3 linked regions of the Diceros bicornis minor genome follow. Each later gene encodes a partner of the first gene's protein in a complex. Links are inferred from orthologs where the notes say so. Each region holds a gene or a part of one and is shown in the gene's direction. Other genes may lie near its edges.

What was found. Proteins that work in one complex are often made in the same cells at the same time.
Region 2: GTF2F2 (region 1) and POLR2K share a complex: the UniProt entries of both Homo sapiens proteins name them as parts of the TBP-based Pol II pre-initiation complex. The link is inferred for Diceros bicornis minor from reciprocal best matches to the Homo sapiens genes GTF2F2 and POLR2K.
Region 3: GTF2F2 (region 1) and GTF2H4 share a complex: the UniProt entries of both Homo sapiens proteins name them as parts of the TBP-based Pol II pre-initiation complex. The link is inferred for Diceros bicornis minor from reciprocal best matches to the Homo sapiens genes GTF2F2 and GTF2H4.

The regions. Positions count from the first base shown.
Region 1 is NC_080748.1:31,595,363-31,599,110, reverse strand, and holds the start of GTF2F2 (general transcription factor IIF subunit 2), read left to right. Parts: upstream 1-1,442; 5' UTR 1,443-1,658; coding exon 1,659-1,724; intron 1,725-3,748. UniProt on the Homo sapiens protein: TFIIF is a general transcription initiation factor that binds to RNA polymerase II and helps to recruit it to the initiation complex in collaboration with TFIIB.
Region 2 is NC_080760.1:18,723,674-18,727,406, forward strand, and holds POLR2K (DNA-directed RNA polymerases I, II, and III subunit RPABC4), read left to right. Parts: upstream 1-1,202; 5' UTR 1,203-1,277; intron 1,278-1,875; 5' UTR 1,876-1,884; coding exon 1,885-1,945; intron 1,946-2,276; coding exon 2,277-2,369; intron 2,370-3,020; coding exon 3,021-3,043; 3' UTR 3,044-3,231; downstream 3,232-3,733. UniProt on the Homo sapiens protein: DNA-dependent RNA polymerase catalyzes the transcription of DNA into RNA using the four ribonucleoside triphosphates as substrates.
Region 3 is NC_080753.1:34,269,050-34,272,797, reverse strand, and holds the start of GTF2H4 (general transcription factor IIH subunit 4), read left to right. Parts: upstream 1-1,255; 5' UTR 1,256-1,455; exon of another isoform or gene 1,456-1,483; intron 1,484-1,857; 5' UTR 1,858-1,860; coding exon 1,861-2,000; intron 2,001-2,278; coding exon 2,279-2,383; intron 2,384-2,737; coding exon 2,738-2,869; intron 2,870-3,113; coding exon 3,114-3,210; intron 3,211-3,302; coding exon 3,303-3,391; intron 3,392-3,611; coding exon 3,612-3,723; intron 3,724-3,748. UniProt on the Homo sapiens protein: Component of the general transcription and DNA repair factor IIH (TFIIH) core complex, which is involved in general and transcription-coupled nucleotide excision repair (NER) of damaged DNA and, when complexed to CAK, in RNA transcription by RNA polymerase II.

The DNA.
Region 1 (3,748 bases):
TAGGAGTTTGCCAATCAGTGGACAGGGGAGAGAGTGAGGGTAAGAGAAGAATAGGGCATCTGAGTAAAGGAAATTGAGGCTCAGGGCAGAGGTTCTGAAATAACTGAGGAAGATTCTGATGTGTTCATGATACTGACCCTCTTAATCTCAAATTTGTGTGCCGGATGTGCAATAAGCCAATCACTGAGACATCGTGCTTGGAGATGGAAAAAGATTTATTCAAAGTGGCCAAAATGAGAAGGTGGGAGGATAGGTTCTCTCAAATCCACCAAAGCCCCAATAGATAGTTGTATGTTACACTTGCACATCCTGCTAGTTGCTGTATGTGGGACACGGCCTCAGCATGGCCAAACAAGTGGTGTGTTCTGCGTCGCCGGGATCTGAAGCCAGGCCACCAGTAGCAGATGTGCACACTTAACCGCTAAGCCACCGGGCCAGCGCTCAAATCCACTTTAACAAGAGAAGAAAGCAGGGGGTTTTATAGAGCTAAGGGGCTTGGCAGGGGGAGTTTTGGAGAAACAAAGGGTAATCCCTGTTTCTTTCACACCTAATAAAGCCCCTGGGCAATCTGACTCCTGAGCGTCCACAGGAGCTGGGGGCTGGTTATCTGTTGATCCTTGAAAGCATTCTTTTTCTTCTGCAAAACAAGCTCATAAATCCTTGTGACCCCTGAATAACCCCTCAGGTAAAACAAGAAAACAGCAAATTGACAAGATTAAGTTCTTTTCATCTATGTCTGTGTTGGGAACAAGGTCAAAAGGTAATCTTATTGAACATTTACAGTAACCCTCAGGTACCCGGCTTCCTTCAGAGTGTTCTGATGGGTTCCGCGTTGTTGGATGTGTGCAGCATTGAGTGGCAGGGATCAAATTGAGAGGGCCTGGGTAGAGAGAATTGAATTTTATTCTAGAACTAAGAAGAGAGAGAGGAAACTATTTAAGCAGCGGAGTCTGACAGTCAGCTTTGTCTCTTATATGTCCATTGTCACTGCCCTAATAATATGGACTCCTGGTTTTGGAGTCTGAAAGGGGGTGTGGTCTGCTTGCTTAATCAGAGGTGTTCAGAGTAGCCTCTCAGTTGAGACATTGCTTTTTTTTCAGGTCTAGAAAGAGCTTGTTTTCCATATACCCAGGGCTATTCAGTCTAATCCCAGCCCTCACTTCTGCTAATTCACTTCCTCTATTTATTACTCTGACATTGTCCTCCTAATGCTGTTTCCTCTCCTTGGCCAGAGTTGGACTTATACTGACAGCCTTTGTCTCTTTGAATCCCATTTTTCTGTTTTGATACTTTTTTTCTTCAGTTAAGTCGACCTAGTCTTTAAACGTATTGGTGACGTTTTGGCCCATGCCACCCTATGTTTTAATCACTGAGACACAGCCTGCGCTAGTAGCCACGCCTACTGGAGAAGTTGCCAAACCAGGAAGTTTGTCCGCACTAGCGCGCCGTACTGACAGTGGCAGTGCGCAGGCGCAGTTCCCGGCTCCCAGCGGCGTGTTCCTTGTTCCCCAGGTTCCCAGCGTCCTGGCAGGTGGACGCCGAGTCTTCCAAGTCTGCCTCCGGCCGCGGCTTGTCTTGTGCTCCAGTCCCTAACTCCGCAGCCCCTCAGCTCCCTGGGCAGCTGCTGTGGCCCGGACGCCTCCACCGGCGACAGACCCATGGCCGAGCGCGGGGAACTCGACCTGACCGGCGCCAAACAGAACACCGGAGTGTGGCTGGTCAAGGTAATGTTCGCGCGGGTTCCGCTTGCACTCCTCCTAGTATAAATAGTTTAAGTGACTTGAGACCGTCCCATTCCGTGCGCCTTTTAAAGCTCTTTACTGCCATCTCGTTAGAGCTTCACATAACTTGAGAGGCAGAACTTACTGTTATGTTCGTTAGAAGACGAGAAAATTAGTTTAGGACACATAGTGTCTTTACTCAGTTAAGAGTCCGGACTTGCCTGGAATGGATCTCTTTTCCCCACGACCTGATTTTGCTGGGCCCCTGTCTTGGTGTCCCCCGACTTGAGCGGTGCATTTTACCCCACACTGAAGAATTTCTGCATCTTGTCTTGGTGAAACTGATTTTAGTCGTGAGTCTGTAGGAGGAAGTTGAGGGTCTGCTTTCTGTACAGTTTTCTCGGTCAGAAAGTAGAACTGGTTCCTGCGTACCCTTAAAGTGTTTCCTTTGGTTGATGGCCCTTAATGGAGTTCTCAGGAGAGCGAGATAGCTCTGAACTCGCGGAAGGAGAGGCCATTGGACTGGAGTGTTCTTTTAGGGCACGACTGGGTCTCGTGACACTGGCCGTCAATAAAAGTTTTTTTGTAAAAACAGCAATCTTGATTAGTCCTTAGCACAGTATTTGTGCTTTACTTTTTCATATTGGGGAGTGTTATCTCTTAGGGGAGTTTCATAAGACATATGTATGTTCAAAATGTGATTATGACAGTCTTTGAACCTCAAGCAGAATGTAGGGACCTTTGGTTTGTTAATTTTTTTAAAAACTTTTACCACACGGCTGAGTTTTCATCAATTAAATCTGAGAGGCCTTTCCTATCCACCTCTATAAATAGCTCCCTTATAATCATTCACTAGCATGTCAAACCTGTATTATATTCTTCAAAGCGCTTATCATACAGTGATTCTATGTTCATGTGTTCGGTGTTGGTTACTTCCTTCTCCCCAGCGCTTGCGCGTGCGCACACACGCACCCACCCACCCACAGTCACCTTCCATGAGAATAGGATCCTTGCCTGTCACACCCAGAATTGTGTCTGGCACATGGTAATTGCTCAACAGATATGTGATGAATGAATGAATACTCTCTTATTCTTCATCCCTAACCTTAGTCTCGGGCACTCATTTGACTTATCCCAGCTATATGAATATGACTTAAAAGGATGGAGTAAATGAGCCTTTCTCTCTCCTACTGCATGCTAAATGGAGGAGAATCGTTAAGGAGATCTCCCTTGCAGACTGAAAGAGCGAGCTTGAAAAAATGGTGGAATTTGAGACGATGCATTTGTGCTTGGAGCATTGTAGATGCTCAATAAACGTTTGCCTTACAGGTTTTGGATGGGTAGACAGAGGCATAGCATAGTGTACCATAGAGAGTGGAACAGAAATGCAAGACTGAAAATGCACATTAACATGGTATGTCCTGGAAAACAGATTATTATGCTTAGAGCAGAGGGTCTGTGTGAAAAAGGTTGGGACCATATACTCATTGTCATATCGTGAAATGAGGATGTCTTAACCTTAGTCTGCAGGAAGTAAGGAACCTTTTGGAGGATTTTGAGTAAGGCAGGGGTGCAAATGATTTTTTCAGGGAAAAAAAAAAAAACTTGAGGGGAAGATAACCAGAGTCAAAATTAGAAAATTATCACAGGATCATGGGTGTATGGTAATGAAGTCTGAGGAGGGAAACTTTTTCAGTGAAAGTTGTCAGGATTTGTTGACTAAATGAGAATGTGAAAGAATGTAATGAATCTAAAATGAAGAAGTTAAAAAATTTTAGGGCTCTCATATATGGCCATTTGAATACATTTTCTCTCTTTAAAAAGAACTCAAGGGGCCGGCCCCGTGGCTTAGCGGTTAAGTGCGAGCACTCCGCTGCTGGTGGCCCGGGTTCGGATCCCTGGTGCGCACCGAGGCACCGCTTCTCCGGCCATGCTGAGGCCGTGTCCCACATACAGCAACTAGAAGGATGTGCAGCTATGACATACAACTATCTACTGGGGCTTTGGGGAGAAAATAAATAAATAAA
Region 2 (3,733 bases), on another chromosome or scaffold:
AGGGAAGCTTATTTTGACTCTTCTATTGGATTACCTCTTTTCTTTGGTTGAGAGGAGAAGTATGTTGTGAGAGAGCTGATGGTCCAAATATTTATGCTCTATATTAGCCTGTCTGTGGAGGAAGAAGCAGGAAATTCCGGTGTGTTTCCCTGGAAATTTAAAAAATTGGCAGCTAGGAAGACTGGGAATATCAAGTTAAATCTCACAAGTTGGTCTGTGGAGGTGCAACCAGCTGGAACTCCTTCTGAAAGTGACAGGTTAAGCTCAAAGTTCTCAAGTTGCTGGATGCAAGATGGGAAAGCAGTATAGCCTGCTTAGTGAGAAAGCAAAGATGTAGTGCATGTTGGGGAGAAAGAAATCTGCTTCTCCGATTAACTATAATAGTTGTTAACGACTGGTTATTTTCTAAATTTTAATAACTTCATTTTCTTCTTCCTCCTTCTGTTGTAAGTAAAATACTACTGTGAAAGAAGCAAATGAATGTAAATGTTGTAAAACCAACTGACATTAATCTCACTGAAATTTTGATCTTTGAAAGAACCCAACCTTACATGGCAGGTTACTTTGTTGTTCTGGAGGACAATACATGTGACGGAAGGAGCGTCAGTGGATAGCCACCGCTACCAAAATCCCTCAGCTGTAGGTGGGAGTAATTGACGTAGCTGCCCTCACGCCCGCCTTTGCTTTAAAATGAGTGAAAGGAGTGGGTGAGAGGGATGACAGGAGCCTAGAACAGAAAGGGTCGAAAAGCAAAAACGAAATTATGTGAAGGATAGGAGGCGTCTGCTCCACCGCCCCAGCACAGATATCAAACCGTTCGAAAAACATAATCTGAAAAGTGTTTTTCCACGTGAAAAATCAGCAGTGAAGTCGATTCTCCCACGTTCCTCGGAATAATGGTTAGCCTAGGATTCCACGGGCACTTGTCATTTTGGTTTCTCTTCTAACCCCCCGCCCTTCTGGAAAAGTGTTACTTTCTACAGACTACATTAGTCAGGAAAACGAACTTCCTTTGACTTGAGGAACTGTTAAAATGCTTTGACGTGCTGAAAAATGAAAATAGCTGTAACGCTAACATGCACTATTGCCCGCTAAGCCTAATATGCAAAACGCCCGGCTTGACCGCCTGTATTCAATCCGGGTTCTTCGGCTACGCCCAGGGCGGAAGGGGCGGAGACTCCACTCCGCGTCATACACCAACGCCGGAAGTTGGCTGAGACGGAGCGACGAGCCGGAATCTGTGTGGAACCGTAGGGTGAGAACGTTCTCCTTGCTAGGTGGGTAGGGAATTGGCGGGTTGGGATTTTGGGCCAAAACTGGCAAGATACTCGGGTTAAACAGGTCTGGTGTGGATTTAGAGTTGGGAGAGGCTGGGGATAGAGTCAATGCTTTAGTCCTTTGCCTGGTTTCTTTCAGTTGAGCTGTTTGGCTATTGGGGGTTGTTTCATTATCCTTCCCTTATCTTCGGTTCGCTTGTTCCCCTGTTGAGGGGTATTATTTTTGTGGCCATCTCCTGCTAAAGTCGATCTGAATCTTTCTGCCTCTTAATAGCTGAATAATCCTGTGCAAATTAACTTTTCTAAGCCTCGGTTTCTTCATCTGTAAAAGGAGAGTAATACCTCCTAGGAGTGTTGTAAAGATTGTAGTGAAATGACGTATAAATGAAATAACACGTATAATGTATTTACTTTTGTGTCCAGTTTGGGGGTAATTGCGCAATATGTTGTTTTTTTGTTTCGTGCTTTACACCTCATAGGGTTTGAAAAAGTACAGATTAGGAATTGGGACGTTTTTAGCTTTCAGAGAAAAATGAGGGCTGGTTGGATTTGTGAAGAGCCCCTTTGAGATATTCAGTATTTAAGTCTGTGATTTCAGGGACTAACAATGGACACCCAGAAGGACGTTCAACCCCCAAAGCAGCAGCCAATGATATATATCTGTGGAGGTAAGAGTAGCACTTACATAAAGTAAGGGTATTTTATTTCAGTTTTTTGAAATTTCTACTTTTATCTTTGGCTTAAATGCGTCGCTCAAGTTTAAAGTTATAAAGCAGAATACTTTAGCAACCGTAAAAAAATCCTCTCATTAAGATTTCTGTCCTGAAAAAGTGCATTGCACCACATCTTTTTTTCTTTCCCCATTAATATATTGGTGATAGCAACATTCCCTTGAGATGGAGTATATTTTGGTGTTCTGGGTGAAAAATATGGTTAAGATAATTTGTTTGTCTGTAATATTTCCCTTTAGACATTGAATAAATGTGTTTTCTTTTCTAGAATGTCACACAGAAAATGAAATAAAATCCAGAGATCCAATCAGATGCAGAGAATGTGGATACAGAATAATGTATAAGAAAAGGACTAAAAGATGTATCCTTTTAACTATGCTTTCTAAATATGAGATGGGAGGAAGTGAAGAGTAATGCTTGGGTTGCGAGTCAAAGACTAATTTCTGGTAAAATGGTAATAACTTTTGGATTACTTACCAAAAAAGGCATGATTAGCATTTTCATGGACCAGTATGCCAATGTATAGGCATATACTAAATAATCTAAATACTAGTTGATTTTGGTTCTCTTAAGTCTGTTTTTCAGGGATTCTCTATTTCACAAAGTACTCATTCTTGAGCTTGAGTTTATGAACAAACTAAATTATACAAGGAGAAATCACAATATTGTGTATGTATGCTACCTGATGGAAAAAGTGAAGCTTACAAATTAGCTGAAAGAGAGTAAATTGTTATGTGGTAACTAACAATGTTTTTTAAATCAATAAGTTATCACCTTTAACATTGCTTCAGTGTTTTTTGGTGCTTTGGTCTTTTGCACTTTGGAAAGGGGACTAATAAAAATAGAAATAGTTTTTTTAGTTCATTTCCACTTGTCATAGTAAATAGTGAATTCCATTTTTTTGTGCATTTTAGATTAAATAACAAACAAGCTTATTGCAAAGAGAAAGTGACTTGGAAGTGTTAGATCAATTTTTAAATACTTTTTTTGTCCTTAACTCAGTTTAATACAGTGGTGGTTTTTGATGCTCGATGAGACATGGAATTCAGAAGAATATCTTCATTTGTATTTGGATTTGCTGTTAATGTTGTTGTATAGCTTTTGATTAGTATACTTTTCTTTATGAAGACAACTGTATACACATGATTTCATTTTAAAACCATATTGTATTTAGTATCTATTAATAGTTTATATAAATAAATTACTTCTGTTCGATTACATGATTTACAATTTAATTTTATTGTGTATGTAATCTGACGCACAATGGAGGTTAAAAGTGCTTCCCCAAATTGCACTTTCAATCAAAACTTAGAATCATCTGGGGCCCTTGTTAAAAATGAAGTTTTCTACGGCCCTCTAAAGGTGTGATTAAGTTCGTTCCTTGGAAACCACTGTTTAACATCACCAACTGTTTGTTAACCTTCTTGCATCATTTTGTTTTAGAGTGTATCAATGCACTTACTGTCAGTGTGCATACCTCATTTTGAGTTATATTTTTCATTTGTTACTTGGCATAGACCTTTCTGTATTTGTATATAATGCTTGACTATCTTTTTTTTTTTTTTTTGAGGAAGATTGACCCTGAGCTAACATCTGAGACCAATCTTCCTCTTTTTTTCTCCCCAAAGCCCAAGTACATAGTTGTATCCTAGTTGTAGGTCCTTCTGGTTTTTCTGTGTGGGACGCCGCCTCAGCATGGCTTGATGAGTGGTGAGTAGGTCCGTG
Region 3 (3,748 bases), on another chromosome or scaffold:
GCAGAACTGCCATTAAAAAGGCGTGCCTATGTCAATCTTCAACAAAAGTTTATGAGTATGCTCACATCCTCATGTACACCAAGGCCAACACTGAGGTTGTCAATCCTTAATTTCTTTTTTTATTTTTTTGCTAATAGGATATTTTATTGTTTCTTTAATTTACTTTTCCTTAATTACTAGTGAAGTTGAGAGTTCTTTCGTTTGGTTTTAAATCATTTGCATTTCTTCTGTTTATTGCCTGTAATCTCTTTTGTCAATCTTTCTATTGTTTTGTTTCTTTTTCTTATTGCTTTGTAAGAGCTCTTTCTCTTTAGTCTATTTTATCAAATATTTCTTCCTACACTGTAATTTGTCTTTTAACCTTCCTTAACGTTTGCCATAAAGAAACTCTGTCACTTTTGTATCATTCTTTGAGGATTTTAAACACTGATCGCTAAAGAAACGGAACAAAACAAACACCCGTGAGCTACGAGACATAACAAAGTCTTACACAGTTCTTAACGTTTCGGTCCCTGGGCCCTTGCGAACGTACTTCAAATCCTAGCTGCGGCACTTTCTGCCTGATCGTCGGCAAATGTCTTAATCTCACCGAGTTTCGGTCTTCTAGTCTGCAAAGTGGGAATAAAACAACTCGCTTTACAGAAACTTGGGGGAACGTGTAGCTCCGGCCTTGGGTGAAGACATTTCCCTGCAGTAGTTTCATAAACCAGATCAGACCAAACGATTGGTTTCTTTTAAATATTGAATTTATTAGGATTTTCTAACTAAACCGGGGGGGTGGGGAGCATGGTGGACGTGGCAATTAAGATTTATTGACTACGTGCCCAGTAAGGCGCATTGATCATGTTACCTCCTAACTCGCGAAAACGCTCTGGAGAGCGCATTATTCTGATCTTACTGGGAGCAACTGAGCTCAAGGAAGCCAGTTTCGTCCATCTCTAAATGTAAGCGCCTCACCACCCAGTCGTGTCCGCGCCTCCGCCAGGAAGCCCTCGGGGCACTTCTACTCTTGCCGTCCCCCCTCCTACACTAGTTGGTTAGGAAAGCCGTTAGGATGCGTGGGTGGAGAGCAACACAGAACGAAGGAGCCCCGCCTCCGATGTTCCGGGCTCTCTCAATTAAAGCCCAGCCTCCCTCCTCGCTGCTTCCCCGCCGTGCCTTTTGGGAGTTGTAGTCAGACGCACTTCAGCCTCCTCCAGGATGGGCAAGAACAAGACTCCAATTCCCAGTATGCCCCGCGGCAGGCGAGTGCAGCGCCTATCTTTATCCTCCTTTCTTTCCCACGTCTTCCCTTCCTTCCCTTCTCTTCTGAGTCCTCTACTCTGGACTCCTGTCTGTAAAGTCCTTCGTCCCTCTCCCCATCTTTTTCTCTCATTTTTTTCACTGTCTTTCCCCCTATTCCCGAGAGCCAATGCAAGACATCGGCCCCGATTAAACGACGGCTTGAGACTCACGGTGCACGAGGGGGGATCGACACGGAGCAGTAAGGGGGCCGGGAGAGGGGGGGAGGCGGAGGTAGAAGAGAGAGTTGAGTGAGGGGCGAGGAGTGGGAGGTAAGTAGGAGAGAAGTTAGGAGATCGGGTTTGGATCAGGGTGAACGGGGTGAAGTAGTCCTGGCGGGGAGGAGGAAACAGGTGGAATTAGCTTTGGGAGACATGGAGGGGAAAGTTTGTTTATTGCCGCGCCCAGGTTGGTCAGGTTTGGGAGAAACCAGAGGAGATGAGCGACAAGCACAAGGAAACTATAGGAAAGATGGGTTATTTTGGGGAGCAGTGGATCTGGAAACACAATGAGGAAGGTGAGGGGTGACACTGGCATGGATTGTGGGGACTTGTTTCTAACATTTGCATCTCTCAGGTGATGGAGAGCACCCCCTCAAGGGGTGGACTGAACCGAGTACACCTACAATGCAGGAATCTGCAGGAATTCCTAGGGGGCCTGAGCCCTGGGGTGTTGGATCGATTGTATGGGCACCCTGCCACCTGTCTGGCTGTCTTCAGGTGAGGACGCCTTTCATGGCAGGGACCATGGTGAGGAAATGTAATGGGGCCTGCAGACTGGAATAAGTTACCATGGGCAGAAGCTTAGCCCCGGGGCGGGGAGGTGTTGGAGATTAAAGTGTGTCAGGCCCAGACAGAGTTTGTGGGGGCAGCAAGACTGGTGCAAGTGTGTGTGTGTGTGTGTGGGGGGGGAGATGAGATGTTTGCGAGGCTGTTGAGGGCAGAGATGCAGATCTAAGGCAGTTTCTGATATTAACATTTTATCTACCACCTCACAGGGAGCTCCCATCTTTGGCTAAGAACTGGGTGATGCGGATGCTCTTTCTGGAGCAGCCTTTGCCGCAAGCTGCTGTAGCCCTGTGGGTGAAGAAGGAATTCAGCAAGTGAGTCTCTACTGCATTCTCAGCCAGATACAAATTTCTTAACAGCTAGATTTCCCAAACTGCTGTTCCTTGGAACACTTCCAGGGAATATTAATGGGTACACTGCAAAACTTGTCATTAAATAAGTTTGGGAAACTCTGTATACTGTATTTTCCCTCTTGGAGAGTTGTGATATCTATAACAAGGCTCTGGTAGGTGTTGTGGTAAAGAAATTTGCCTTAAGAAGACACTGATTTCACTCTGTGAAAGTGTTCCAAGGATTACCAGTTCAGAAAAGGCAGAAACTGGGGCCTATATGGCCCTCCTTCTTTTTGCTCTCCAGACACCCTTTTCACTTCTCTGTTTCTGTTACAGAGCTCAGGAGGAAAGTACAGGGCTGCTGAGCAGCCTCCGTATCTGGCACACGCAGCTGCTCCCTGGTGGTCTCCAGGGCCTCATCCTCAATCCCATCTTCCGCCAGAACCTCCGCATTGCCCTCCTGGGTGGGTATGTCACTTCCATCTCTTCCTAAGCTAAACCAGGGGCACTAGTAATTAAACTGCTAATTAAACTGCAGTTTAATTAAACTGCAGGTGGGGGGCTCCACCTTGGGGAGCTCCTTTAGGAATGAGGTGGACCAGATGTAGCTGCATGGTGTCTCCCACTCATGGCCCGTGAGGGTAGAAAGAGGGCAGAGGGATGAGCGGGGAACACAGGCAGGCTTCCTTACTCTTGGCACATCCTGGCACAGGGGCAAGGCCTGGTCTGATGACACAAGTCAGCTGGGACCAGACAAGCATGCCCGGGATGTCCCCTCACTTGACAAGTACGCAGAAGAGCGATGGGAGGTGAGGCCTTGGGACTCTGTGTGTGTCTGCTTTGCTCCTACATCCCACGGCCCTTAGAAGCATTGGTCTCTCTGCTCTCTTCCATTCCTCAGGTGGTCCTGCACTTCATGGTGGGCTCCCCCAGTGCAGCCGTCAGCCAGGACCTGGCTCAGCTCCTCAGCCAGGCTGGGCTCATGAAGAGGTGAGGAGGCCAGAGGTACCACAGCTCCATGCTTTGCCATCTCCTTGGGTCCCTGCTAAACTGAGCGTCCGGGGCGGGTCAGGATTGGAGGGAGTTGACTGAAAAAGGAGAGCTGAGTGGAGCATGGCCAGAGATAAACCAAGAAAGAACGTGAGAGGACAAGTCGGGGTGGTGGCCTTTCTCTGCATACCTCTATCATTGTCCCTCTCTACATCTCTAGTACTGAACCTGGAGAGCCGCCCTGCATTACTTCTGCTGGCTTCCAGTTCCTGTTGCTGGACACCCCTGCCCAGCTCTGGTACTTTATGTTGCAGTATCTGCAGACAGCCCAGGTGAGGATGCCGGGGGCTACTTGCC